3 linked regions of the Macaca mulatta genome follow. The protein of the gene in region 2 binds, or shares a complex with, the protein of the main gene of each other region. Links are inferred from orthologs where the notes say so. Each region holds a gene or a part of one and is shown on either strand. Other genes may lie near its edges.

The links.
Region 1: MED26 (region 2) and MED31 share a complex: the UniProt entries of both Homo sapiens proteins name them as parts of the mediator complex. The link is inferred for Macaca mulatta from reciprocal best matches to the Homo sapiens genes MED26 and MED31.
Region 3: MED26 (region 2) and MED13L share a complex: the UniProt entries of both Homo sapiens proteins name them as parts of the mediator complex. The link is inferred for Macaca mulatta from reciprocal best matches to the Homo sapiens genes MED26 and MED13L.

The regions. Positions count from the first base shown.
Region 1 is NC_133421.1:8,129,842-8,138,041, reverse strand, and holds the start of MED31 (mediator of RNA polymerase II transcription subunit 31), read left to right. Parts: upstream 1-3,417; 5' UTR 3,418-3,517; coding exon 3,518-3,545; intron 3,546-4,331; coding exon 4,332-4,409; intron 4,410-4,689; coding exon 4,690-4,786; intron 4,787-7,526; exon of another isoform or gene 7,527-8,200. Other genes in the region: C16H17orf100 (uncharacterized protein C17orf100 homolog), read right to left, coding at 2,756-3,133. UniProt on the Homo sapiens protein: Component of the Mediator complex, a coactivator involved in the regulated transcription of nearly all RNA polymerase II-dependent genes.
Region 2 is NC_133424.1:17,071,284-17,079,255, forward strand, and holds MED26 (mediator of RNA polymerase II transcription subunit 26), read right to left. Parts: upstream 4,379-7,972; 5' UTR 4,297-4,378; coding exon 4,195-4,296; intron 4,043-4,194; coding exon 3,968-4,042; intron 3,306-3,967; coding exon 1,650-3,305; 3' UTR 536-1,649; downstream 1-535. UniProt on the Homo sapiens protein: Component of the Mediator complex, a coactivator involved in the regulated transcription of nearly all RNA polymerase II-dependent genes.
Region 3 is NC_133416.1:123,524,119-123,532,096, forward strand, and holds the start of MED13L (mediator of RNA polymerase II transcription subunit 13-like), read right to left. Parts: upstream 4,784-7,978; 5' UTR 4,763-4,783; coding exon 4,691-4,762; intron 1-4,690. UniProt on the Homo sapiens protein: Component of the Mediator complex, a coactivator involved in the regulated transcription of nearly all RNA polymerase II-dependent genes.

The DNA.
Region 1 (8,200 bases), on a different chromosome or scaffold from region 2:
GTCCCCTTACTTCTCCATGCCTCGGGACCCGGAGAGGGAGCCGTGGTTTCCGGAACTTCTCACACCCCTCCAGGCTTTTCCTCTGTTGGGCAGGTGACGAATCGGTGTCTTTGCTTGTTATGGCCCCTGCCATCGCCATGGAGACAGGTGAGTAGCGCTCTGAGCCTGGAGTCTCCGAAGACAGAGCTCTCCTTGTCACAGACCGCTTCTTCCGCTTCCCCGGGGCCTCCTTCCAGGCCTCACTCTCGGCAGGGTTAGTATTTGGACAGGGAGGAGAGAAGGCTCTTGTAGCATCTAGAAAGGCTAAGGTACTCTGCAGTTTTGCTAATTTGGTTTGTTCGCACATCTTTGCTATTCAAACACGACCCCACCAGCTTCCCAGCATGGGTGAGACTAAGGGAGAGGACTTGTGTCTTAAAGCATGTCCTCCTTGTGTCTTAAAGTGTGTCCTTGATTGGTTTTCTGCTTCTCATATGAGCTTGCATACGTTTGAAATATCGTCGCCAGACTTGTGTATCATTCTGCTACTTGTGCTTCTTACATATGATATGCTCCATCATCTTTTAGGCTCTTTGGAGTCTCTTGTTCAGTTTGCATCCTAAGTTTTTCTTAACTGACTCAGCAGGTAGCTTTTGCAAAACTTAATCACTGTTAACAATTGTTACAATGCATTATTAAAATAGGGGACGTCACAGTTATTACAGCCTACCTTAGTGATCACTGTTAAAATTCCTACACAGTGGCCCACAAGTGGTAGGTATTGTGTCCGATTTGTGCTGCTGTTTTCTTTAATGATTTCTCTTTACCTTTAAAGTCAACCCTCTTCCATGACTGTTTCTTAGGTCTCACTACAATCCTGCTATGTAGAAGTGGCATGCTGTCCTAATGGACCATGCTCTAGCTTTCCAAGCTGCTAGAACTGTGTTTCTCAGCCTCGGCACTATTGACATTTTGGGACCAGTGATTCTTCATTGTTGGCAGAGGGAAGGGTGTTGACCTGTGCACTGTAGGATATGAGGTGGCATCCCCAGCCTCTACCCACTAGGTGCCAGTAGCACCTAATGTGCTACCCACTCCCCCTAACTTGTCTACCAAACTAAAATGTCTCTAGAGGTTGCCATATATCCTCTGGGGTCAAAATCACACTTAGTTGAGGACCACTGTCCCACATAAAATGTAAATGGCATCATATCATTCCTCTGTTGAAAACCCTTCAATGTTTTCCTATTGACCTTAGAATAAATCTCAAATTCCTTTCTGTGGCTTAGAAGACCTTCTGTGGACTGGCCCCTGCTTGCTTCTAACTCCTCCCTTCAGTTCTGCTTCCATGTCTATATAATCGCCTCTCTCTCCCTCCAGCCACACTGGCCTTCTTTCTGTTCCTTGAACATTCAAAGCTTGTTCCCTTCTAGCTTTTGTATTTGCTGTTCTTCTGCCTAGAATGCACATGTTCCAGATCACTGTTCATTCACACATATCTCAGATTAAATGTTACCTAATCAGCAAGGACTTCCCCGACCATTTTATCAAAAGAAGCCTCTTACTTCCATTCTCTATCACATGACCCATATATTTCCTTCATAGTGCTAATCACAATAGAAAATTGTCTCGTTTTGTCATTGCTTGTCGGCCTTTTCACCAGAGTGTAAGCTCCACTACAGCTGGGACTTTGGTTTTTTTTACTGCTATAGCCCAAGTTCCCAGAATACAGGCAGTCCCCAACTTAAGATGGTTTGACTTATGATTTTTCGACTTTACAATGGTACAAAAGCGACCAGGAGAAATAGTACTTTGAGCACTCATACAACCATTGTTTTTCACTTTTAGTACAGTATGCAATAAATTACATGAGATATTCAACATTTTATTATAAAATGGGCTTTCTGTTAGATGATTTTGCTCAACGTTAGGTGTTCTGAGCATGTTTAAGGTAGGCTAGGCTAAGCTATGATGTTTAGTAGGTTAGGGATATTAAGTGCCTTTTCAAATTACCGTATTTTCAACTTACAATAGTTTTAATGGGAGGTAACCCCATTGTAAGTGGAGGAACATCTAGTACCTGGCACAGAGCAGGTTCTCAATAAATATGACTCTTCTCCATCTTCTTCAAACCTCAGACCAGGTTTCAATGGCCTCCTCTCACTTTCTCTTCTAAGATTATTTTTGCTTGCTGGTGGGTTTACTGTCATTTTTAACTACATCTAACCTACCTTTAAAAAGTGTATGGATGGGAGTGCCAGGTACAAAGACTTAGCATAAAGAAAACCACCAGTTACCTTGAAACATAAACAAAGGCCATTAATAATTTATGAGTCTGTTCCTTGCCCCTCAAGTTTCTAGCAGGCATGGAATCATTCCACAGGTCATGATTTCAGTTTGGTCTCTGTTCCTAAGGGGTGAAGGTCTTCTGAGGGCTGTGGATCCCAAACTCACCTGGCTCAGAGGCTCAAACAGCCTCTTTGTCCATCAAGCCAATTTAGACAGCATCCTGGGCATGAAAATCTTTTGTGCTGGCTTCAAGTGAAAATAGTTCACTGGGTCAAAAGTAGGCTGGTCCAAGACGCAGGATGGTCAATAAACGTTGGCTGTGTTCAGAAACTGCGGCTTGGCTGTTTCTTCCATTGATTTATGGTTTGTTTCCATGAAACCGAAAATGATTGGTCCACCTGGCAGCTGGCTGGCTGGCTGGCAACTGGAGGCCTTTCTGTCCTGGCTGAGGGCCCTGGCCCCTTGGTGGCCTTTGGGAAGCAGCATCTCATCGGGCCGGTTTTTCGTTCTGGCGGGCGGCCGGCTTGGCCCGCGGGGCTGGGCTCTCCGCGCAGTGCAGAGCCGTCTCCACCCTCAGGGACGAGGCCCTGATGTGGCGGGACGTCGTTTCCGTGCGCTGCGAGGAGGATTCCACGTGCCGGGAGGACGCCTCGAGGATGCCAGGGAGCCGCTTCCCCAAGGGGGAGAGGGAGGGCCCCTCGCTGCGGCGCTGGGAGGTCTCCACCCGCCGGGACGACGTCTCCACGCGGTGGGACGAGGTCTCCACACGGTGGGACGAGGTCTCCACGCGGACTGTGGACGTCTCTGTGTAGCGGGTGGTCCCCACCCGGGGAGAAGACTGCTTGGCCCCTCGGGCTGAGGCCATTCTGCCGGCGTGAGGGGGCCAAGGAGGCCTCGGGGCACCCCCCAGCCCAACGGTCACCGCAGGCAGAAGAGAGGAAAACTACGGTACTGCCATAGCCGGGAGCGCCACAACACGATGACGTGGAAACACCATGATCCTTCCAAGGCTAAAAACACTGGGCTCCTGCCCCTCAGGCGCTCCCACGGCCCGGGCCCCGCCCCCTCGCTATTTTGGAGCCAGCGCGGGTGGAGCCATCCCAGGGCTGGCGGGATGGGCGGAGCCGCCCGGCCCCATATCCCACAGTGCCCCGGGACCGGAAGAGAGAGCCGTGGTTTCCGGAACTTCCCCCGCCACTCTGGGCTTTTGCTCGGTCAGGCTGGTGGCGTTTTGGTGTCTTCGTTTGTTATGGCCGCTGCCGTCGCTATGGAGACAGGTGAGTAGCTCTCTGATCTTGGAGTCTTCGCAGATGGAACTCCCCTCGGTCCAGACGGCTTCCCCGTGGCCTCCTTCCAGGCCTTACTCTCGGCAGGGTTAATATTTGGACAAGGAGGTGAGAAGGCTCTTGTAGCGTCTAGAAAGACTAAGGTACTCTTTGCAGTTTTCCTAATTTGGTTTGTTCGCACATCTTTGCTATTCAGACACCACCCTACCAGCTCCCCGGCGTGGGTGAGACTAAGGGAGAGGACTTGTGTGTTAAACCGTCTCCTCCTTGATTGGTTTTCTGCTTCTCACATGAGCTTGCCTAAGTTTGAAATATCGTCGCCGGACTTTATGTGTCATTCTGCTACTGGTGCTTCTTATATGCATACGCTCCATGATCTTTTAGGCTCTGCGCAGTCTCTTGCATCCTAACTTTTTCTTAACTGATTCAGCACGTAGCTTTTGCAAAACTTAATCACTGTTAACAATTGTTATAACGCATTATTAACATAGGGGAAGCCATAGTTGTTACAGCCTACCTTAGTGATCTTAGGAATTCTCCGTTTGTGTTGCTGCTTTCTTTGATGATTTCTCTTTAATTTTAGAGAAACTTCTAACTCCTTTTAATCAGGGCTCCGCTTTTCTTAGATTTCGAAGAAAGGTTTATCTCCCCCAACTCCCAGTTTAGGAAGACCATCTCGGCATTAGTCAGGTTTCTTTATTGCTGTTTCCTTACTACAAATCAGTATTATATACAGTGACCCTTACTTTCCATGATTTTTGCTGTCTTGTCTCCTAGATGATGCTGGAAATCGACTTCGGTTTCAGTTGGAGTTGGAATTTGTGCAATGTTTAGCCAACCCAAATTACCTTAATTGTAAGTTGTTAAGCACCTCATTAAATTGAGTAGCTACTAATGATTTCTGACAGAAGAGTTGCAATTCAAAATAGTATCTACTTTTACACATTCTCAATTGAATGACATTACACTTATGCTGGTATATAGATATAATTGCGCACTGGGATTTGTGTTTTGAATTCAATGTGTGTTGGTGGTGGGGGTTTTATGTAAATAGATCCTTTACATTAGGGGTAACAAAGCATAGTTTAAAGATTGGTTTGACCTACAGACATTTTTTTTTTTTAATGCTTTTCAGTTCTTGCCCAAAGAGGTTACTTCAAAGACAAAGCTTTTGTTAATTATCTTAAATACTTGCTTTACTGGAAAGACCCAGAATATGCCAAGTATCTAAAGTAAGTTTAATTTTTATAATCCTAAGCATGTGTATACTTTATGATATGATAGATTTCTTCGTTTCACATTGGCAAAAATGTATTTGGAATCTCTCCACTTCTTTTCGTTGTCACCATCTTAACACAAGACACTCTCATCTCTAACTTGTATCACTGCAGTAATCTACTCCCTGGTTATCTCTGCTTCCACTTTTACCTTCCTGCCCCCCCCCCACCCCAAACCAAACCAAGCAAAACAGCTTTCTACACAGAAACCAACTTAGTCATTTAAAAATATAAATCAGAACACTTTACTTTCTTGCTTAGAACCTTTCCATGACTTTCCATACCATGCAGAATAAAATCCAGTCTCTTTTCTTGGGCTAAAGCCCTATATGATCTGGCCCTGCCTTGTCTGACCTTGTCTTTCACCACCCTCCCCATCTCACCAGGTTTCTGGTCCCGAAGAACTCACAGTCTGTAAATGAAGTGACATAAGCCATGGGCTGAAATTAAAAGAGGGTATCTGTAAGGAAGGTGTTTCTGGGGTTATTTGGAGGAGGTGATGTTAACCTGAGTCTTAGAGTTGCTATCTTTTATTTAAGGCCTCTTATGTGCCAGAAACAGTGCTAAATGCTTCATATGCATTAACTCATTTATATATATATATATATATATTTACCATTCAGGTCATTCAGCGACACTTTTGTGTTAAGGCTTACTGAATTGCAAGAAGCATATAACCACAAACCTATTCCCTTTTAATGATTAAAAAAAAAAAAAAAAAAACACCTTGAACTCATCCCTGCTTTGTCTTAAGCAGGTAGAAAGCAATAGTGAACCTTAAAAAAAAAAAAGTTTGAGAGGAAAATGTTTCAAACTTGTTTCGAAGTCACTTTTCTGTGTCCAATAACAATTGACTCACGAAGCATATACATCTTATATTGCCTTCAGGACCCTTTGCACCTTTTCTGGCTTTTTATCCATTTAATAATCCAAAGAAAAGACTTTTAAGAAAAATAGATTTCAACAAATGTTGTATGTATGTAGATTTACAGACTCAGTGTTGGAAGCCTTAGCCACCAACAAGTTTAATCTTACCCAAAACGTTGCCGAGAGATGGTCATCTACACTCTGGAGGTTTTCACTGAGCCCATGTTACTCTGTCAGGGACAGCTGATTTGATTGTTAGCCAGATGTTAGAAAGTTATTCCTTATATTGTGATATAATGTCTCTCCTTGTAGCTCTAGTCTGATTGTAGTGTTATCCTTCATCTATCTGCAGTCACATGAAGTCTATTTGTCCCACTACTGGTGACATTAATTTTGATAACTTGGTTGTCCCTGGATTGAGCTAGAACCATTCTATACCCTCTTGAGGACAACAACCTTCCAGATACTTACATTCAAGAGAGATTGCAGATTAGCCCCTTTTGGGCATTTTATTCAGTCTGCAGAAGATTTTAGTTTTTTTTTTTTTTTTAATACTTGCCAACATTTGAAGATCAGAAAGTTTTATATAACAAATGCAGATTTCCCGCTACTCTTTCAAATCTGGAAGATCTAGTAACCATAGATCTTAATTCTCCCAAGTCAACAACTGGCTGAAGCTGAGAGCAGCTGTCACTACTAGCTGCTTTCCAGCTGGTGGAAGGGACACTTTCTACCACTTGGCCTGCTTCGTTGGTAGCCAGTAGGTGTCACTATAACATCTCTCTCCATCTGTGTTTCTCAACTACCCTCAGCCGTTGTGCCGTGGTGTCCCGGAGTTCAGGTTCCCTCCGCTGGATGTTTGGCAGTGGTACTTTATGCAGTTCAGCCAGGAACTAAACACAGGCCTTCATGTGTGGTCAGAGTACAGTGGGCCAGAGGTCCTTTCTTTTCTTCACGTGGACATATACCTTATGTTACTTTTGAGGGTGGGGGTGGGAGAGGATCACATTGTTGACTTGCTGGGAGCATTACGTCAATTAAAATCCTTCAGTTATTTTCATCAATGTTCTCCCTATCTTGTTTATTTTTAAAAACACCGAATGTGGAACTTCCCTTTTATACTGCCGCTGTTTCATCTTGTGGACATGTAGCCTATCAGAGTACGATTCTTTACTGTCATCTAATGTATTCTGATGTAATCACTGCATGTCTGAATTCTAGTTACTGACTAAATGCTGCTTGAGACCATTCTCTTGGTTGTCACATTATTTTACAGTTGAAGAAACTGAACCTTAGGGAGGTTAAGTACCTTGTTGAAGGCCACCCGGCTGGAACTTACATCCTGGTTCATTTTAACTACTAATGCTGTCATGAAAGGGAGTTAGCCAGGGCAGGTGTGAATAGAGCATTCTAGCATAAGCAACCAACAATTAGAGCAACTGTGTATTTTCATTGCGTAGATAGCAAACCTTTAATGTCTTGGAAGTTACTATCTTAGAAGCATGTGTTAAGCCCTCTATTCAATGTGGTGTTCACATCATCAGCATTGGTTTCATTTGGGAGCTTTTTAGAAATGCAGAGCTCAGGCCCCACTCCAGGCCTAAGGAATCCATCAGCATTTTAAGAAGTGGTTCATATACACATTAAAGTTTTAGAATCATTGCTGTAGTATCCTATTTTCCACACTTGAGTCATTTGCATATCACTTGTGCAACTTTGGCTTTATCTGCTTTCTTCCTGAAGGGGGCCTGCCTCCCCACACCTGTGGTATTTCTCGTCAGGCGGAGACCAAAGACTGAGAAAAGAAATAAGACACAGAGACAAAGTATAGAGAAAGAACAGTGAGCCCAGGGGAACAGCACACTCAGCATGCGAGGACCTGCACCGGCGCCGGTCTCTGAGTTCCCTCAGTATTTATTGATCATTATTTTTACTATCTTGGTGAGGCGAGTGTAGCAGGGCAACAGGTAGGGAGAAGGTCAGCAGGGAAACATGTGAGCAAAGGAATCTGTATCATGAATAAGTTCAAGGAAAGGTGCTGTGCCTGGATGTGCACATAGGCTAGATTTATGTTTCACTTTCCACAAACATCTCAGTGTAGCACAGAGCAACAGAGCAGTATTGCTGCCAGCATGTCTCACCTCCAGCCACAGGGCGGTTTTCTCCTGTCTCAGAATAGAACGAATGGGAATGGTCGGCTTTACACTGAGACATTCCATTCTCAGGGACTAGCAGGAGACAGAAGCCTTCATCTTATCTCAGCTGCAAAGAGGCCCCCCTCTTTCACTCCTCCTCCTCAGCACAGACCTTTTACGGGTGTCGGGCTGGGGGCTGTAAGGTCTTTCCTTTCCCACGAGGTCATATCTCAGGTTGTCTCAGTGGGGGGAAACCTGGACAATTCCCAGGCTTTCTTGGGCAGGGGTCCCTGCGGCTTTCTGCAGTGCATTGTGCCCCTGGTTAATCAAGAATGGAGAATGGCGATGACTTTACCAAGCATACTGC
Region 2 (7,972 bases):
CAGATACGGATAAGATGACCTATTCCAAAGTGAAAAACTAGAAAACCAAAGTCTTAGCCTACAGTTTCAGGGAAGAGGGGGAACTTAAAAGATGATCACTTTATAGTCAAGGGAGAACTATTTTTTTTGGAGTCAGCAACCACCAGCTAGTAAGGCAGCCGGGGGCCAGGGCCACAGGGTGGGCTGCCACACACACACACACACACACACACAGCTCTAAGTCTCTGGTATTTTGTTAAGGTGGGGGTAGTCACTGAGACCTATGCTATGGAGCCTCCTACGGAGGGCTGCTCTCTAGGCCAGGTAAAGTCTGGGTGAGACAAGATAACGTTCCTTAATGTGGCCCTGAATGAATAAAATGTGAAGGTCCTCCCAAATGCAGCAGCAGGCTAGCAGGTGGACTTCAAAGCACAGTGCCCTGTCCTGTCTCCCTGCATTGCGGCTGTTGGGGTCTAGGTTTTTCTGGCTAATCTACAATCCAGGAAAGGGCTGATTTGGCTGTGAAGGTCCAAATGAGAAAAGATTCTCAGACTGGTTTGTGCAAATGGTTTTTTTTTTTTTTATTTCCACATTTATATCACAAGGTGTCCACTTACTGGACCAAATAGCAAAGTTGCTCCCTTCTGCGTCCTGAGAACACAGAAGTCTAGGTACTGTACATTCACTAAGGCTCCTTGTTTTTGCAAATCGCGTTTATGACAAATAACCATAAGGCAAACGAATCTAAAGGAATGGTTATGAGTGTTTCCAGCGTACAGACAGGTCTCCCCCTCGCCCCACAGTACAGCATAAAACCAGTAGCACCCACAGTCACTTTTGTGTTGTTTTGGGAGGACTCTAGAAAGGTGAAGTTTTCTAGATGTGTACAGGAAGGGAAAAAAGAAAGGGAGGAAGAAAGGAAAGGTTTTTTTTTTGTCTGGTGGTCTGATGGAAGGAGTTGTTAAAATAAACATGAAAAAACTTAAATTTTTGCAGCATTTCTTTAAAAACGGGGTTATAACTGAAACCAGATATAAACAGGTGGCTGCCCATGGAGTGTGGGTCACCCTGGCTGGCCAGCTGGCCCGCCTGCCCGATGCCAGTGGCTCACCACAGCTGAGAAGCTTCTGGCACATGACGGACAACACTGACCTGACAGTGGCTGGGTAGGGAGCAAACAGAGGCAGCATGGCCCACTGTCTCACAGACACTCAGGGCCAAATTAAAGAACAGAAAATGCAAGAGAGATGAGATGCGTGCTTCTGTTGCTGTGTTAAAGGTAACCTCTCCACAGGTTTTCTGTGCCTGCCTGCAACTGAGGTCCCAGCTTTCAGGTGCTGGAAAGTGTCCGCACCTCTTCAGGGGTGAGGGACTAACGCTTTTTATAGCTGGTTTGCTATAGAGTTCTGAACTCACTTTGCCGTCCTTCCTTCCACGCGGTCCTTCCTTCGCAATTTTGTTAGTAAACTGGTAGCAGCATTTCACAAAAGGAGAGTTTTGAGGGAAGAGTGCAGAGAGACCGCGTGACTCCCGCCCCCTCCCTCCTGCCCGGGCCGGACTCCCCGAGTTCCCAGTGCAGGAGGCAGCTGGGCCCCGGCCACCCACCCACCTGCCTGCCCGCCCGCCCGGCTTCTGCAAGATGGGAATGCACTTCGTGGCTGACGGGCCGGTCAGTCCAAACAGACATAAGGCAGAATGTTCAAGCGCCCGTCATCGCCGTGCGGATCAAGTGATATGCACTGCGTCCAGTCATACCAGTTACCCTGTGTGTCCTGACACCCGTTCACCCCCGGCCACTGGCTGGCCTGGATTCTGTCGAGATCGTCCTGTGTGATATCCCGGGTCAGCCCGGGGAGGTCTGTGGGCGGGCTTTGAGGCACCAGCACGTGCAGCTGCCTGGCCCCTTGCCGGGTGCTCTCCTCCTGCTTCAGGTACTCAGACATGAAGTGGTGAGCCCCCGGGGTCTGCGCGCCCGACGATGAGAGCAGGCTGCTCTGCCGGCTCAGGTAGGACTGGATGATCTCGTTGCGTGACAGCTCCTTCCAGTTCGTCTGTTCAAAGGGGCTCTGGAGGCTGGCCTTGGCCTCCTGCTTGTCCAGCTCTGTCCTGGACTGCTGCTCCATGTGCACAGGGCTGTCTGCCCGCACTGGCTCTTTCTGGGTCAGAGGTTTGATCTGTCTTGTCATGGGGTCAAAGGTGAGCTTCCGCTCTTTTAACCGGACAGGCTTGACGCCCGCCTCAGCCACCTGCCCGTCCAAGTTAACCGTGTAATCTCGAGGCCGGTACCTCTTCTTCTTTTTACTGTCCGAGCCCCCTGAGGAGGCAGCGTCACTGTCCGCCTTGGAGGAGTCTGGGGAGAAGCCCGCCCGGGACAGGAGGGGCTCGGCTGGGGACAGCCCTGCCTTGCAGCCCGGCCCCGCCAGCCGCTGGTGGCTTTCCGGCTGCTCAAGCCAGCGCACTGGGCTTTCCGCACTGGGCAGCAGCTCAAGCCGCCGTACAGGGGGTGTGGACGGCTGTGCCAGTGGAAGCGGTGACGGCACCTGTGTGGCATCGAGCGCCTGGGGCCGCGGTGAGGGGCTGGGCACGGAGCCCTTGGGTGCATACAAGCTCTGCTGCCGGGCAAAGGAGCCCTCATGCCGTGAGTTCCGAGGACTGAAAGAGCAGCGAGGGGGCCCCTTGGGGTGGGGAGGCCCCGGAGTCTCATCCACCCTGTCCAACTGCTGCAGCACCGAAGCCTTTGGCTGCAAGCAGGGTCCAGGGGGCTTGCCCAGGCCTGGGGAGCTGGTGTGCGGCCGCACAGCGTTGATGGGGATCTTGCCACTGTGCTTGTCGTTCTCGCCACGCTCCAGGCGGCCGCCCTCTGGGCCTGCATGCCCACTGCCATCCAGGGAGCCAGGGAAGCTCTCTGGACTCCCACTGATGCCATTGGTAGGGAGGGGGGATGAGTTGGGGACCAGGGGGTCGTGGCTAGCTTTGGAGACCTTAGGTGGTGGCCCTGGGTGGCCGAGGTCACGCTGGTCACCCCTGCGCTTGCGGCTGCCCAGCCTGTCCAGCCGCTGCCCGGGCAGCCTCTGGAGGTCATTGCGGCTCTTCAGGTCATGGATGCTCCTGGGCGGGCCAGCCGCCCCCACCTCCGGCCGGCAGTTGTGTGCACCCCCGTTGGCAGAGCCAGTGGCCCCCGCCAGCCCCCGCAGCGCTGCCTCATGCTGGTGCGCTGGCTCGATGAGCTTCTGCCAGCTCCGCAGCAGCTTCTTGGCCCGCTTGGCGAGCTCCTCGTTCTTGGTTTTCTTGCGGACGTCGTTGATGAGCTTCCCAAGTCGTGTTTCCTACAACCAGAAAGAGAGATGATGACATACTTTCGGGACAGGGACTTCCCCATGAGCTGAGCCAGAAATGGTGGGAAATGGCCCTGACAATGAAATGACCTGGTTCCCACTGAGCCCTAAACTGCCAGCCTCCCTGGCACAAAACTCCTGGGGATTTCCGGTCCTTTGTGACAATATAAATTCTCAAACCTAGTCCCCAGACCTTCAGAGTCCCAGGTGGCTTCTCAGCAGTGCTGTCCCGCAGGCTCCTGGTGCCAGGGGGCTGTCAAGGCCACTGTAAGGACACTGCCAGGGAGGCTTTCTGGATGAGAGGGTGCTGTGGCCAAGGCGGCAGCACAGAGGGTCTGCTTCAAGTGGAGGGTTGGGGACGGCGCCTCTCATTGGAGCCTCCCCCAAGCACACCTCTCCTGATGTCCCCATGTCCCCACGTGCCCACGTGCCCATGAAGTGTGCTGGGCAGGTAGGATGGGATTAATGCCACTTGGTCACTGCAGTGGCCACAGGAGAGCAAGATCACGGGGCACAAGCTGTGAGGGCACACCGCCTCTCTTGGTCCTCTGAAGCAAAGACACACGCTCCTAGAAGCTGGGGAAGGAACTGGGTTGGTGCCGTCCCCTGTCCCCCATTCTGCACTCCCAAATGCTGGGGTCTGGGATACTCACCTCAAGTGCCTCTTTGGTAATGGGGTATTTCTCCAGGCTGGAGATGACTTCCAGCACCGCCACCATGTTCCGGATCTGTGGAAATAAAGAAAAAGCCATTTGTCAGGTTCCTGCCCTTCTCCCCTGGGAGGCAGGGACACCCTACCCCAGCCTGCTCCAGTCTCTCCCCAACCCCAGAGCAAGAGGAGCTGGCAGCACTGAAGCCCCCACTCCATGTAGTCTCCTACCTGCTCCCCAGGCCAACCTGGCGCCCAGTGCTCATCCTCACCCGCTGTCCGACCTCCTCCAGTGTGTGGTGTGCGGTCTGCTCCAAACCCTCCAGTGTACATGGTACATATCCACCCACCTGCTGAAACCCAGGATGCTTGTGAAACAAGAGCTGCTCCTGATACTTAAAATGACCTCTACTCTGCCATCTGATGGGAGTGGGAGAGGAGACACTGAAGAATTCATCGAATAAAATCCACAAAGCTTAAAAGATCAATACATAGGCTGGGCGCGGGTGGCTCACGCCTGTAATCCCAGCACTTTGGGAGGCCGATGAGGGCGGATCACGAGATCAGGAGTTTTGAGACCAGCCTGGCGAACACAGTGAAACCCCATCTGTACTAAAAATAAAAAAATTAGCTGGGTGTGCTGGCATGCGCCTGTAGTCCCAGCTACTCGGGAGGCTGAGGCATGAGAACTGCTTGAACCCGGGAGGCAGAGGTTGCAGTGAGCCAAGACCACGCCACTGCACTCCAGCCTGGGTGACAGAGCGAGACTCCGTTAAAAAAAAAAAAAATTCAATACATAATAAACCAGTCGATTTGAATCCAAAGACACCATAAAGAGAGCAGAAAGTCACAAAGTGGGAGAAGGCATAGACCACAAGCCCCAAGGAGCTGTATCTGGAACACACAGAGAATGCCTGTGCAGCAGTGCAGCTGACCAGGAACCCAGCGCACAGTGGCTACAAGACAGGAACAGGCACTGTGCAATGAAATGTCAGCGCTAATGCTCAGCTTCTCAGCTTTATCAATAATTAGGAAAACTCAAACTGAACCCACAAATGGATATATGATACACGCACCCCACTGACAATACTAGGTACTTCTGGGGGTACAGCCGACTTTGGGAACGGCTGGACTTTGTCTGGCAGAGTGAAACATGAACACATCCTATGACCGAGTAATCCCACCCTTTTAGGATCTTGCTAGGAGCCACACCTTGTTCTAAGCACTTCCCACACATTACTAACTCCTTTAATTGTTACAACAAGAATTCCTACCGCTCAACCGCCACCTCCAGCAGCTACAGGTTTCTGGTGGGCTGGCTGGCAGGCGGGAACCCAGGGGCCCTGAGGAAACCACAGTGAGTAGATTACACAACTCCCCCCCACCCCCACCCCAACATGATAAAGGAGTTAAGCAGGCACATGATACAAATTAAAACAGCGTAAAAGGGCACACAAGGAAATGGGCATCTCTGACCCAGCCACTGTAGCATTACCTTGCATTTTTTTCCAAAAATATCCCTTGTGTATGCAGGCGTATACATCTACACTTGTCACATATTTCAAAACCAAACTGACCGTGGTTCTTGCCTTTTCTGACTTAACATCAGCAATGTCCAGCCTCAAACAGAGCCCCTCATTTGGCTCACCATCCCTTCCAGAGTGGGGAAGGCCCGACTTGAATGTTGTGGGACACTTAGGCACTTTCTGTTCGCCATTACAAAACAAGGCTGCAACTGACGGCAGTGACAGACTTGACTCTGGGCTAATGCACAGACAGCCGCGGGTGAGCCGGGGCTTCACATCCATGCAGGGTGGTCACCTCGCCCCCAGGGAGGCTGCTCCATTCCATTCCCACCAGGCCACATCCTTGCCAAGACTGCGTGGCATGAGTTTCCATAACACGTGATTGTAAACTCAGCATCTTACACAGCACACATTTATCATCTCAGGCTCTAGGGCTCAGAAGTCAGGTCTCGGTCTCACTGGGCTGGGATCCTCTCTGGAGGATCCATTTCCTGCTCCTTCAGGTGTTAGCAGAGTTCAGCTCTTACTTATTTTTTTGAGACGAAGTTTTCCTCTTGTCGCCCAGGCTGGAGTGCAATGGCATGATCTCAGCTCACTGCAACCTCCGCCTCCTGGGTTCAAGCAATTCTCCTGCCTCAGCCTCCCGAATAGCTGGGATTATAGGCACCCGCTACCACGCCCAGCTAATTTTTGTATTTTTTTAGTAGGGATGGGGCTTTCACCATGTTGAAGGCTGGTCTGGAACTCCTGACCTCAGGTGGTCCACCCTCCTCGGCCTCCCAAAGTGCTGGGATTACAGGCGTGAGCCACGGCGTCTGGCTGAGTTCAGCTCTTTACACTGCAGGAATGAGGCCCATTTTCTTGCTGGTTGTCATCCGAAGCCATTCCCAGCTTCTGGAGGGCACTGCATCCAGCTCACAGCCCCTCCCCTTATGCCAGCTACAGGCCGAGTTCTCGCCCGGCATCTCTCTGACCCAGCCAAGATAGGTGCCATCTCTAAGGACTCCCTGACTAGGCAGGGCCTGCTCAGATGATCTCGGATCATCCCCCCCATCTCCAGACTGTTCCCTTAGTCACATCTGTCATGTTCAGTACCACATGCCTGGGCTCCAGGACTAGAATGTGGACGTCCTTGAGGGCTGTTAATTCTGCTGGCCTCATGGATTCTGGCTTTTCTACTCTTCTGCCCCACTTCCAGGGCAAGGCAGCCACTGCCCCTCCCTCCCTTCCCCTGTGTTGTCTCCTCTGGGTGTAAAGTTGCAGAGTGACCACAGAGCCACGACAGCAGTCCCTGCAGAGCTCCCACAAAGCTGCCCCTCTGCCAATGGGCCCATTTGCTCCTTGGCAACAACGGCCTTGCCTTGCAATGTTCTCATTCAGGGCTCCAAATGACCCTGAAAACCCTGCTTCAAGCTGCATCATGGTGGGGGTGGGTGGGTGATGAGAGAGGAGATGCAGTCCTGTCCGCACTCCTCATGCAATGGGCAGGGATCAGTGCAGGGGAGGACTGCGCCATTAGGAGGCCAGTCCCAGACAGATAGCAAGGCCAACCACACCCTGGCCCAGGCACTCCAGCACCGACTCAGTCCCTGGGCTTGCCACATGGCTTCACCTCCACCCTGCTGACCTCACCCTGGTATATTTGGAGCCTTGGTTCCCCACATACTCCTGAAGCAGCAGTCCTTGCAGAGCAGAACACTGCCCAGGCCCAGCTAGCCTAGTGGCACAAAGTGTCCTTGTCCTTGGGCAGACACCATCCTGCTGCCAGAAAGGAGGGAGGAGACAGAACACCTGGGCAACCCCAGGGTCTGGCACTGAGCTGGTGCCCCAGAAATCACTGCTGAACCAACAGCCAGCCCCAAGAGTCTCCTGGAAGCTGTGTGGGAGCTGGGGACACCAGGCGAAGGTCTGAGGGCCCTGTGACTGGGTATCCTCACCCCTGGCCCCTCCCCTGCCTCATGAACCATGCTTAAGTGTGTGCAGAGAGGCCTTGAGCCTCTAGGAGCCCCAAGGGAAATGCTACATCCTTGGCAGTCCCCTTTCTGTCCCCAGCATGTGAGCCGCTCACCTGAGGAGTAGAGGAGCCCGTCTGCTGTACCTGTAAGGTGCTAGAAACCTACAATCCTACGCCGTAAACAGATGAACTCTGCCAACACCTGGCAGGGCAGGAAACGGATCCTCCAGAGAGGAGCACAGCCCGCTGCTGCCTGGATCCCAGCCCAATGAGACTGGACCTGACTTCTGAGCCCTAGAGCCTGAGATATTAAATGTATGTTGTGTCAGACACAGAGAGAGGGTGAGTGCCCAATGCGGCCACTCCCTGGAGCCAGCAGAAGGCAGTCAGTGATGTCAGCAGAGCTAAGGACGGAGGCAAGATGAGACTGTCCTGCCCTGCGACCTCTGGGGTCTTGATGTCAAGCAGCCTGAGCACTGTGTAGGGAGAGCCACCTGGGCATTCCAGACATAGGCCTCCCAGGCCCAGG
Region 3 (7,978 bases), on a different chromosome or scaffold from region 2:
TTCCAGACCAGCCCGACCAACATGGCGAAACCCCATTTCTACTAAAAACACAAATAAATTAGATGGGCATGGTGGCAGGCGCCTGTAATCCCAGCTGCTGGGGAGGCAGAGGCAAGAGAATCGCTTGAGCCAGGGAGTCGAAGTTTGCAGTGAGCCAAGACTGCGCCACTGCACTCCAGCCTGGGTGAGAATAGGACTCCGGTCTCAAAAAAAAAAAAACCAAAACAAACAAAAAAAAAGCAAATGATAAGCTATATAAGCACCTGGCATAAACTCAATAAATACATACTATCCTAAACGCACCCCCCTGCCCATTCTTCTCACAAAGAATAGGCCCTACCTTCTTCCCAATGAGCACTTCAAGCAACATCCACAGCAAAATATTTGTAGCATACAGGCCTAAGGTACATTATTGTCTCTTTAAAATTATGAACTCATCACACGTACAAATGGCTCTTTAAAACGGTCCAGTAAACTGCTACACTATGCCTTAAATTGCTGTCTATTATGTACTTAAAAATATTTACTAGCAATTGGAGGTTAATATGGCAACTATTACCGGGTGGCAATTATTGCTATTAAAAATATATAAATACTGTAACACCATGTGCTACTAACAACAAAATGCTAAACCAAAAACATACATTAACAAACTGTAAATATTTTCATTACAGAAAATGACAGCTGGGTGCAGTGGCTCATGCCTGTAAACCCAGCACTTTGGGAGGCTAAAGCGGGTGGATCACCTGAGGTCGGGAGTTCAAGACCAGCCTGATCAACATGGAGAAATCCCGTCTCTACTAAAAATACAAAATTAGCCGGGCATGGTAGCACATGCCTATAATCCCAGGTATTCGGGAGGCTGAGGTAGGAGAATCGCTTGAACCTGGGAGGCAGAAGTTGCGGTGAACTGAGATCGCGCCTTTGCACTCCAGCCTGAGCAACAAGGAGAAACTCCATCTCGAAAAAATAAAAAATAAAAGGAAAGAAAATGAACCATCATAGGAAAAAAATGCTTTAAACATAAATTATAAAATCACAATGAACTTGTACAAAAAAATACCTTGTGTATTTTAGCACTTTGAAAATTAGAGAAACCATTCCCTTTTCCTAGTTTGCCTTTTATAGTCCACCCTATTCTAGCTCAAAAAAAAAAAAATACAGATTTCGAAGTTTCTACATTTGCAACTGTCTTCCCTTTCTGGGGAAAAAAAAAAAAAAAAAACGCTTAAGACAAAAAGAAATTAGGTCAACAATAGATTACCTTAAAAGCTTCAAATATAGAATTAATAGTCTTCAATAGGAATTACGGACTAATGGGTGTACGAGTGTCTCAATCCAGCAAGAATTTGAGATTATCACCCAATTATCCATAGTCAGGAAGATTCTAAGCAAATAAGACATGAAAGTGGAGGATACATATCTAAGAATTAGAGATCACTCCCTCGTATCAAAGAACACATACTTAAGTCTAGTTAAAGGGCACAAAATCACTTTCTCCGTATTAACTCAATAGAGAAAAATACATACTTAACATCCAGAAACCAGGTCTTCTCGCAAGAATGAGTTCACATACCACAGGATGCCCCGTTACACTTTTCAAAAAGGCAGATTTAACACACTTTGAACGATTAACTGAGTGAATATATGAAAAGTCACCCAGAAATGTGATGGACAGCATAAGAGAATAGTTTTGCGTCAGACAGGCAGAGCCAGGCATGCACTTAATGCAGCAGCTACAAATCTCACGGTTAGAATAAGAAACACATACAATCACCCATATCGTATATACACAAGGGCATTTTTCACACGTTAGGAAAAGGGAATGGATGTTGAAAAATTAATTTAGGAAATTTGATTCCATGCAATAAAAAATCAGAAAATTAAGTAAAAGACTAGCAGAAATCTTAAGGTGTCTGATTGACTGCGCAATCAACTTTTGGTAAGCCATAATGAACACCTCAAGGTAATGGAAACTGGGTGTTATTACCATGGTACAGAACTTTAATTTCTTATTTCAATCTAAGTAATGAGAGTATTTAGGTAAATTCTTTATAAATACTTTTCTCTGCTTTAAAAAAAAAAAGAAAAAAAAAATCTGCAGGCCAAAAGAAAAAAAATGCAAGCTATGATTAAACCATAAAGCGTTCTTATAAAAAATATGCTTTATTTTGAACAAGGGATTAGATCTCCTTCAGAAATAACTATTATATACAATGTACTTTAGGCAACATACTTTTAATATTCCAGGTTGCTGCTTCTGTATAGCATTTTCAAAAAAAATATCAATTTGGAATCAGAAAAATGTACAAGTCAGCAGTTTAGATTTCTTTAATAGCACCTTATCCACACTCCATGTACAAGACAATGAAGACATTCTACATTCCTTTCAAAAAAAAAAAAAAATCAACTAAGCATTACTACAGTTCTCTATTTCAAAGTTGCTACTTAAAAAATAATTATTTTTAAAAGCATATTCAAAAATCAATCCTTTGGTTTAAAGAGGTTTAGGGGAGAAATATCTGAAACACAAACCTTTAGTCAGTCAAAATCAAAGTACAGAATCCTCTCCTACAAAACTGCCTCTCCAAAAGAATCTCAAGCATGTTATCTCTGTAACGTTATCATTCTTACTTAAGCTTTAAAAAAAAAAAAAAAAAAAGATAAAAGAAATGATATACCCTAAAAGACTGGCTATACATACACTTTCATACGTCTACACAATCTGTATATACACAATCATTACCAGTCAGCATAATATATGATAATTTGGGAGATCTCTCTATTTGGTTATTTTAATTACCTGTGTCAATGTGATCACCAGTAACCACACAAAAACCATTTTAAGTACCCCTTGATCAATATGTTTGCTAATCTGTGAAAGTCCCTGAACCTGACTGATACCAAATGATAAGACTGAGGAGGGAAAAAGAAGGGGCAAAAGGGGGTTTTACTCCCACATACCAAAAAAATCAAGGGAAAATTATCAAAATACTAAGAGAAAGAATTCCAACTTATAACTGAATTTTAAGATGAAATATCTGGATTAAAATATTTCATTTAAAAAAATTTACCTGATCTTACTAGAGTGGGATCAATGATACTATGTCACTCGGTCTTTGTAGGTAAAAATCGCGTGTGTTGATTTTTTGGTCTGCATTGTAACACATTTAATAACATAATACTTTCATTTGAAAAGTTGGCGAGAATTTGCATTTCTCCATTAGTCTCATAGCAAAAAAGCATCTAGGCCACCCATAATTAAATGTAACTAATTACAATTTGAACACTAAATTATTTATCCAGTGTAAACAAGGATTAAGAGGGAAATGATGCTTCTATCTACAGCGGGGGTTACAGAAAATAATTTCCAAAATGTATGTTCTCCAAAAGGGACTCACCTCCCCCTAAAAAAACCAGGGTACACAACTAAGTTGGGTGTTTTTAAGGATAAATTAAATAAACTGTTCAGCCAATTTTCCAATTATATTCTACGCTTGAAACGTAATTGCCTTATATCTGTTTACAAATCTTTGCTCAATATTTAAACAAATTCGTACTCTCCTGGGCACATAGCTATACATACAGTAACTCATGCACAAAGCACATATTTAAAGACCACGCACTGCAATTATTAGCCTAAACGCCAGGTTTAACAACGTGAATGTTTTCAGAGGTAGGTAATACGACCCAATAAAAAGCAAAGATGGCATTTACCACCAAATGTCACTGCCACCGCCAGGAAAGAGTTGCTGGAGCCCTATACATTTTTAATTTCGATGAATCTAGACGCCGTCGGCGGGTGCCAGGCTTCCACGAGAACAATTGACACCCTAACTGCTTCAAGATTAAGGCAGGCGATTCAAATCCGAAGGAAAAGTTGTCAATTATCAGAGAGAGAGCGCGAGAGAGGCGAAAGCAGATAAAAGCGATGTTATCAAACCGCCCAGCTTGTTGCTTTTGTGTGTGTGTGTGTGTGTGGATTCGTTGTTAGGACAGATAAAACAGTTTTTAAAAGACACAGAAGGAGAGAAAGAAAAAAAAGCTTTCTCCACCTTCCGTCGGCTCGGTGCAATGGCTTTACGGCTCTCCAGCGTAGTAAGCCCCGAGAGGCAAGCGGCTGTCGATGTTTACAATCGCGGGAGCTTCGGGTGCAAGAGTCCTTTCCTGACACAATCGCATTCAATCAACTGTTTTCGGGCGAAATTGCAGGTGTCATTATGGAATTTAAAAAAATTCAAAAGGCAGGCGGGCGGGCGGGCGGGCAGGCAGCCGATCCGACAACGGGGAAGAGGTTGCCGATCGGAGGCGCGGGCAGCACAAGGCAAAGCCTTCCACATTTAGGGGGGAAAAAAAGGGGGGAAAGGGGAGGAGAAGGGGAGTGCAATTGCAACAGAGGGTGGGCGTTCGAAGTGCGACCCAGAATCCGCAGCTCCGAGACTTCCACATGCAAATTCCACGCCGAGCGCCGCGCTCACAAATGATTTTTAAAGAGCCAAATAAACACTGGATGGGATCCAAGGCGAGAAAGAGACGATCCAAAAGGGGGAGAATCGGCGAGAGGCGAACGGCGGGGAGACGCGAGGGAGGGGCGAAGTCCCGGCGGCGGGAGGAGAAAGTTGGTCGGCGGCGGAGGTCGGGGAGCCCCCCCTCCCCGACACAGCCCCCTCCCCGCAGCCCGGCTACTCACCAGCGAAAAGAGGTTGGAGTGACAATCCTCCAGGCTCGCCCCGTTCGCCACCCAGTTCGCTGCCGCAGTCATGATCCTCCGCGAGCCCGGCCGCCAGAGCGGGGCATGTCGGAGCGAGGCGTCCGAGGCGAGGCCGGGCCGGGCGGCGGCGCCTCGCCGGGGAGCGCGGGGCGGCCGGGCCGCCGCCGCCGCCGGGGGAGGGCGCGAGGGCCGGCGGGCAGGCGGGAGGCGCCGCGGCGACGCCGCGCCGGGGGCGGCGGGCCCGGGCTGGCGGGGGGGTCCGCGGCGGCCGCGCGGCTCCTTCCTGCTCGGGCGGCGGCGGCGGCTGCGGCGGCTTCGGCGGCGGCGGGGGGCGCTGTCCGTGCGGCCCGGCGCCCACCCCGCCTCTCAGGGCCGCCGCTGCCTCCCGGGCCGGCGCTGCGGGCCGGCCGCCGCCTCCGCCTTCCCTGCTCCTCAGCCGCCGCCGCCGCTGCCGCCGCCTTGTTTATCTCCAGCCACCGACTCCCCCTCGGCCCCCGCCGGCGCGCGAGGGGAGGCGAGCCCCGGAGCCGCCGCCGCCGCCTCGGAGCCGCCGCCGCCGCGGAGCGCGAACTCGCGAAGGGGGGGGTGCGGACGAAGCCAGCGGGCGACCCCGGCAGCCGAGCGACGTCCCCTCCTTCCTCTTCCTCCCCCACCCCCCCCTCCTCCCCAGTCAGCCTCGCTTCTCCTCCCTCCCCGGGCTCGCTTGCTCTGACAGCAATGGCGGCCGCCGACCGCGGCTCGGCCCGCCATTGGCTGGTGCCGGGTCACGTGACGGGCGCCGGCCGCGCGGGGGGAGCAGGGGGCGGGCGGGGGAGGGGTCCGGAGTGGCGGCGGCGGCGGCGGCTCGCGGGAGGCGCTGCTGAGCCGAGCGCGGCCGGGTCCTCGGGCCGGGAAGAGGGAGGGAGGGAGGCGGAGAGGGAGAGAAAGAAGTGCAGGCGGCCGGGCTCCCCGGCGGGCGGCGGACTGCCGGCCCGTGGCTGCCGTGGGCTGCCCCTCGTGGCCGCCCCGCCCCCTCGCGGTGCACTGATCGTGGCGGGGCGGGACCGTGGGTCCGGGGCGGGACCGTGGGTCCGGGTCGCGCCCGTGGCGGCCGCGGAAGCGGGCGCGGGGCCCCCGGCCTGTGTCCCCGCAGCCCAGGCCGGCTGGCGTGGCGCGGCGGCCGCGCTGTGGACCAGGCAGCGGGTCCGAGTGCTCTGGGAAGTGTGTGTCTTCGGAGGCTCGCGCCGCCGTCCGCCTTTTACAGAGAAAAAAAACTGAAGCACAAAGGGATTAAGTCACTTGCCCGAGGTCGCACACCTGGGAAGAGGAGTCCAGATTCGAACCCGCGCACAGTGAAGCCAAGCTCTTGGACTAGGTTTCACAGTCTTTGCCCAGGGATATTCACGGCTGCCACAGAGGGAGCGCTTACTGTGTTCCAGGCACTGTGCGTTTAATACAGAAATGTGTATTGAGCCCTTTCTCCTAGTTACTGTGTGCACTCATTCATTCATTCATTATATAAATGTTTCCTGAGCTCCTACTATGTGCCAGAATCTATTACAACTTCCAGGCACTGTGCTAAGGCCGTGTTGGGAGCAGACCCTTCCTCTTGGCGTTATTCATTCAATAACCAACATTTCCCGAGAGTATATGACCTGGGTGTCCGGAGGAGTGCTGCTGTGAAGAGAGGCTCTCCCAGTCCTCAAGAAACGGATCCCCAAAAAGGTGGTGAGGAGAAAACAATGTCTTCACTAATAAGCCTCCAAACATGGAACAGCTAGCTGTTTCAGGCAGATTAAACTAAAAGAGGAAGAGTCGATGGCTAGCATAGTGGCTCACGCCGGTAATCCTAGCCGAGGTTTAACACCAACCTGAGCAATGTAGCAAGACCCCCGTTGCGACAAAAACAAAAAAAACAAAAAACAAAAATTAGACAGGCATAGTGGCATGTGCCTGTAGCCTTAGCTACTCCAGAGGCTGAGGTGGGAGGATGACTTGAGCCCTGAAGGCGGTGGCTGCAGTGAGCCCAGTGAGCCCCGAGATCGCATCACCGCACTCCAGCCTGAGTGAGAGAGGCCCTGTCTCAAAAAAAAAAAACAAATAGGGGAAGAGTGGAAAGCAGGGAAGAGATGAGAGTGCATAATAAAAGGAGAGAAGTCTTAGACACGTGAACTTAGCTCTGGAACTACCACAAAAATTGATCCTGATTGCTGGCCCTTGGGAGGTAATTAGCATAAGGGTGGAGCCCCCATGATGGAATTAGTGCCCTTATAGGAAGAGACACAAGGGAGTTTGCTTCTCTCTCTGCTAAAGACTCATGAGCAACATGTTATAATGTGTATTATCATGCAACGTATTGTTACAATGAATGTCCTTACCTACATTATTTCACATAATCAGCAGAACCACCACCTAAAGTAGATACTGTTATTATTCTTAGGCTGTAATTAGGTAAAGCTCAGAGGTGTGCAGTGACATTTCCAGTCTCTCAGTGCATGGCTCAAACCCAGGTCCATCTGACTCCAGAGCCTGACCGTAAATTCAGGAGGCTCCTTAGAAAGATGCCTCTGGCTGGCTTTGCCATCACTCTAATTGCATTACTTTGACCAACATAGTTTAAGTCTTTGAGCTTCATTTCCTAACCTGTCAAAAATTGATCCTGATTGCTGGCCCAACAACCTCAGGCCAATATTGAGAATTTCTGTTAAGATACTGTTGATGGTCGGGTGCAGTGGTTCACGCCTGTAATCCCAGCACTTTGGAAGGCCAAGGTGGGCAGATCACCTGAGGTGAGGAGCTCGAGACCAACCTGGCCAACATGGTGAAACCCTGTCTCTACTAAAAATACTAAAAATACAAATATTAGCCGGGTGTGGTGGCGTGTGCCTGTAGTCCCAGTTACTTGGGAGACTGAGACAAGAGAATCGTTTGAACCCAGGAAGGAAGTGGAGGTTGCAGTGAGCAGAGATTGTGCCACTGCACTCCAGCCTGGGCGACAGAGCGAGACTCCATCTCAAAAAAAAAACAACAACACTCTGTCAACATACTAACATACTTGTTACTTAGGCCTGAGCAATACAGGGGTATAATGCCCGTCATATCCAGGTTCCATATATTTACATCAGAGGTGAAGGTGGTTTTGTCCTACTCACCTGGTGACCAAATTGTCATTCTTCAGCAGGTTTAGGTTTAAGTAAAAATAATAATAGGCCAGGTGCAGTGGCTCACACCTGTAGTCCCAGCACTTTGGGAGGCCAAGGCCAGTGGATGGCTTGAGTCCAGGAGTTC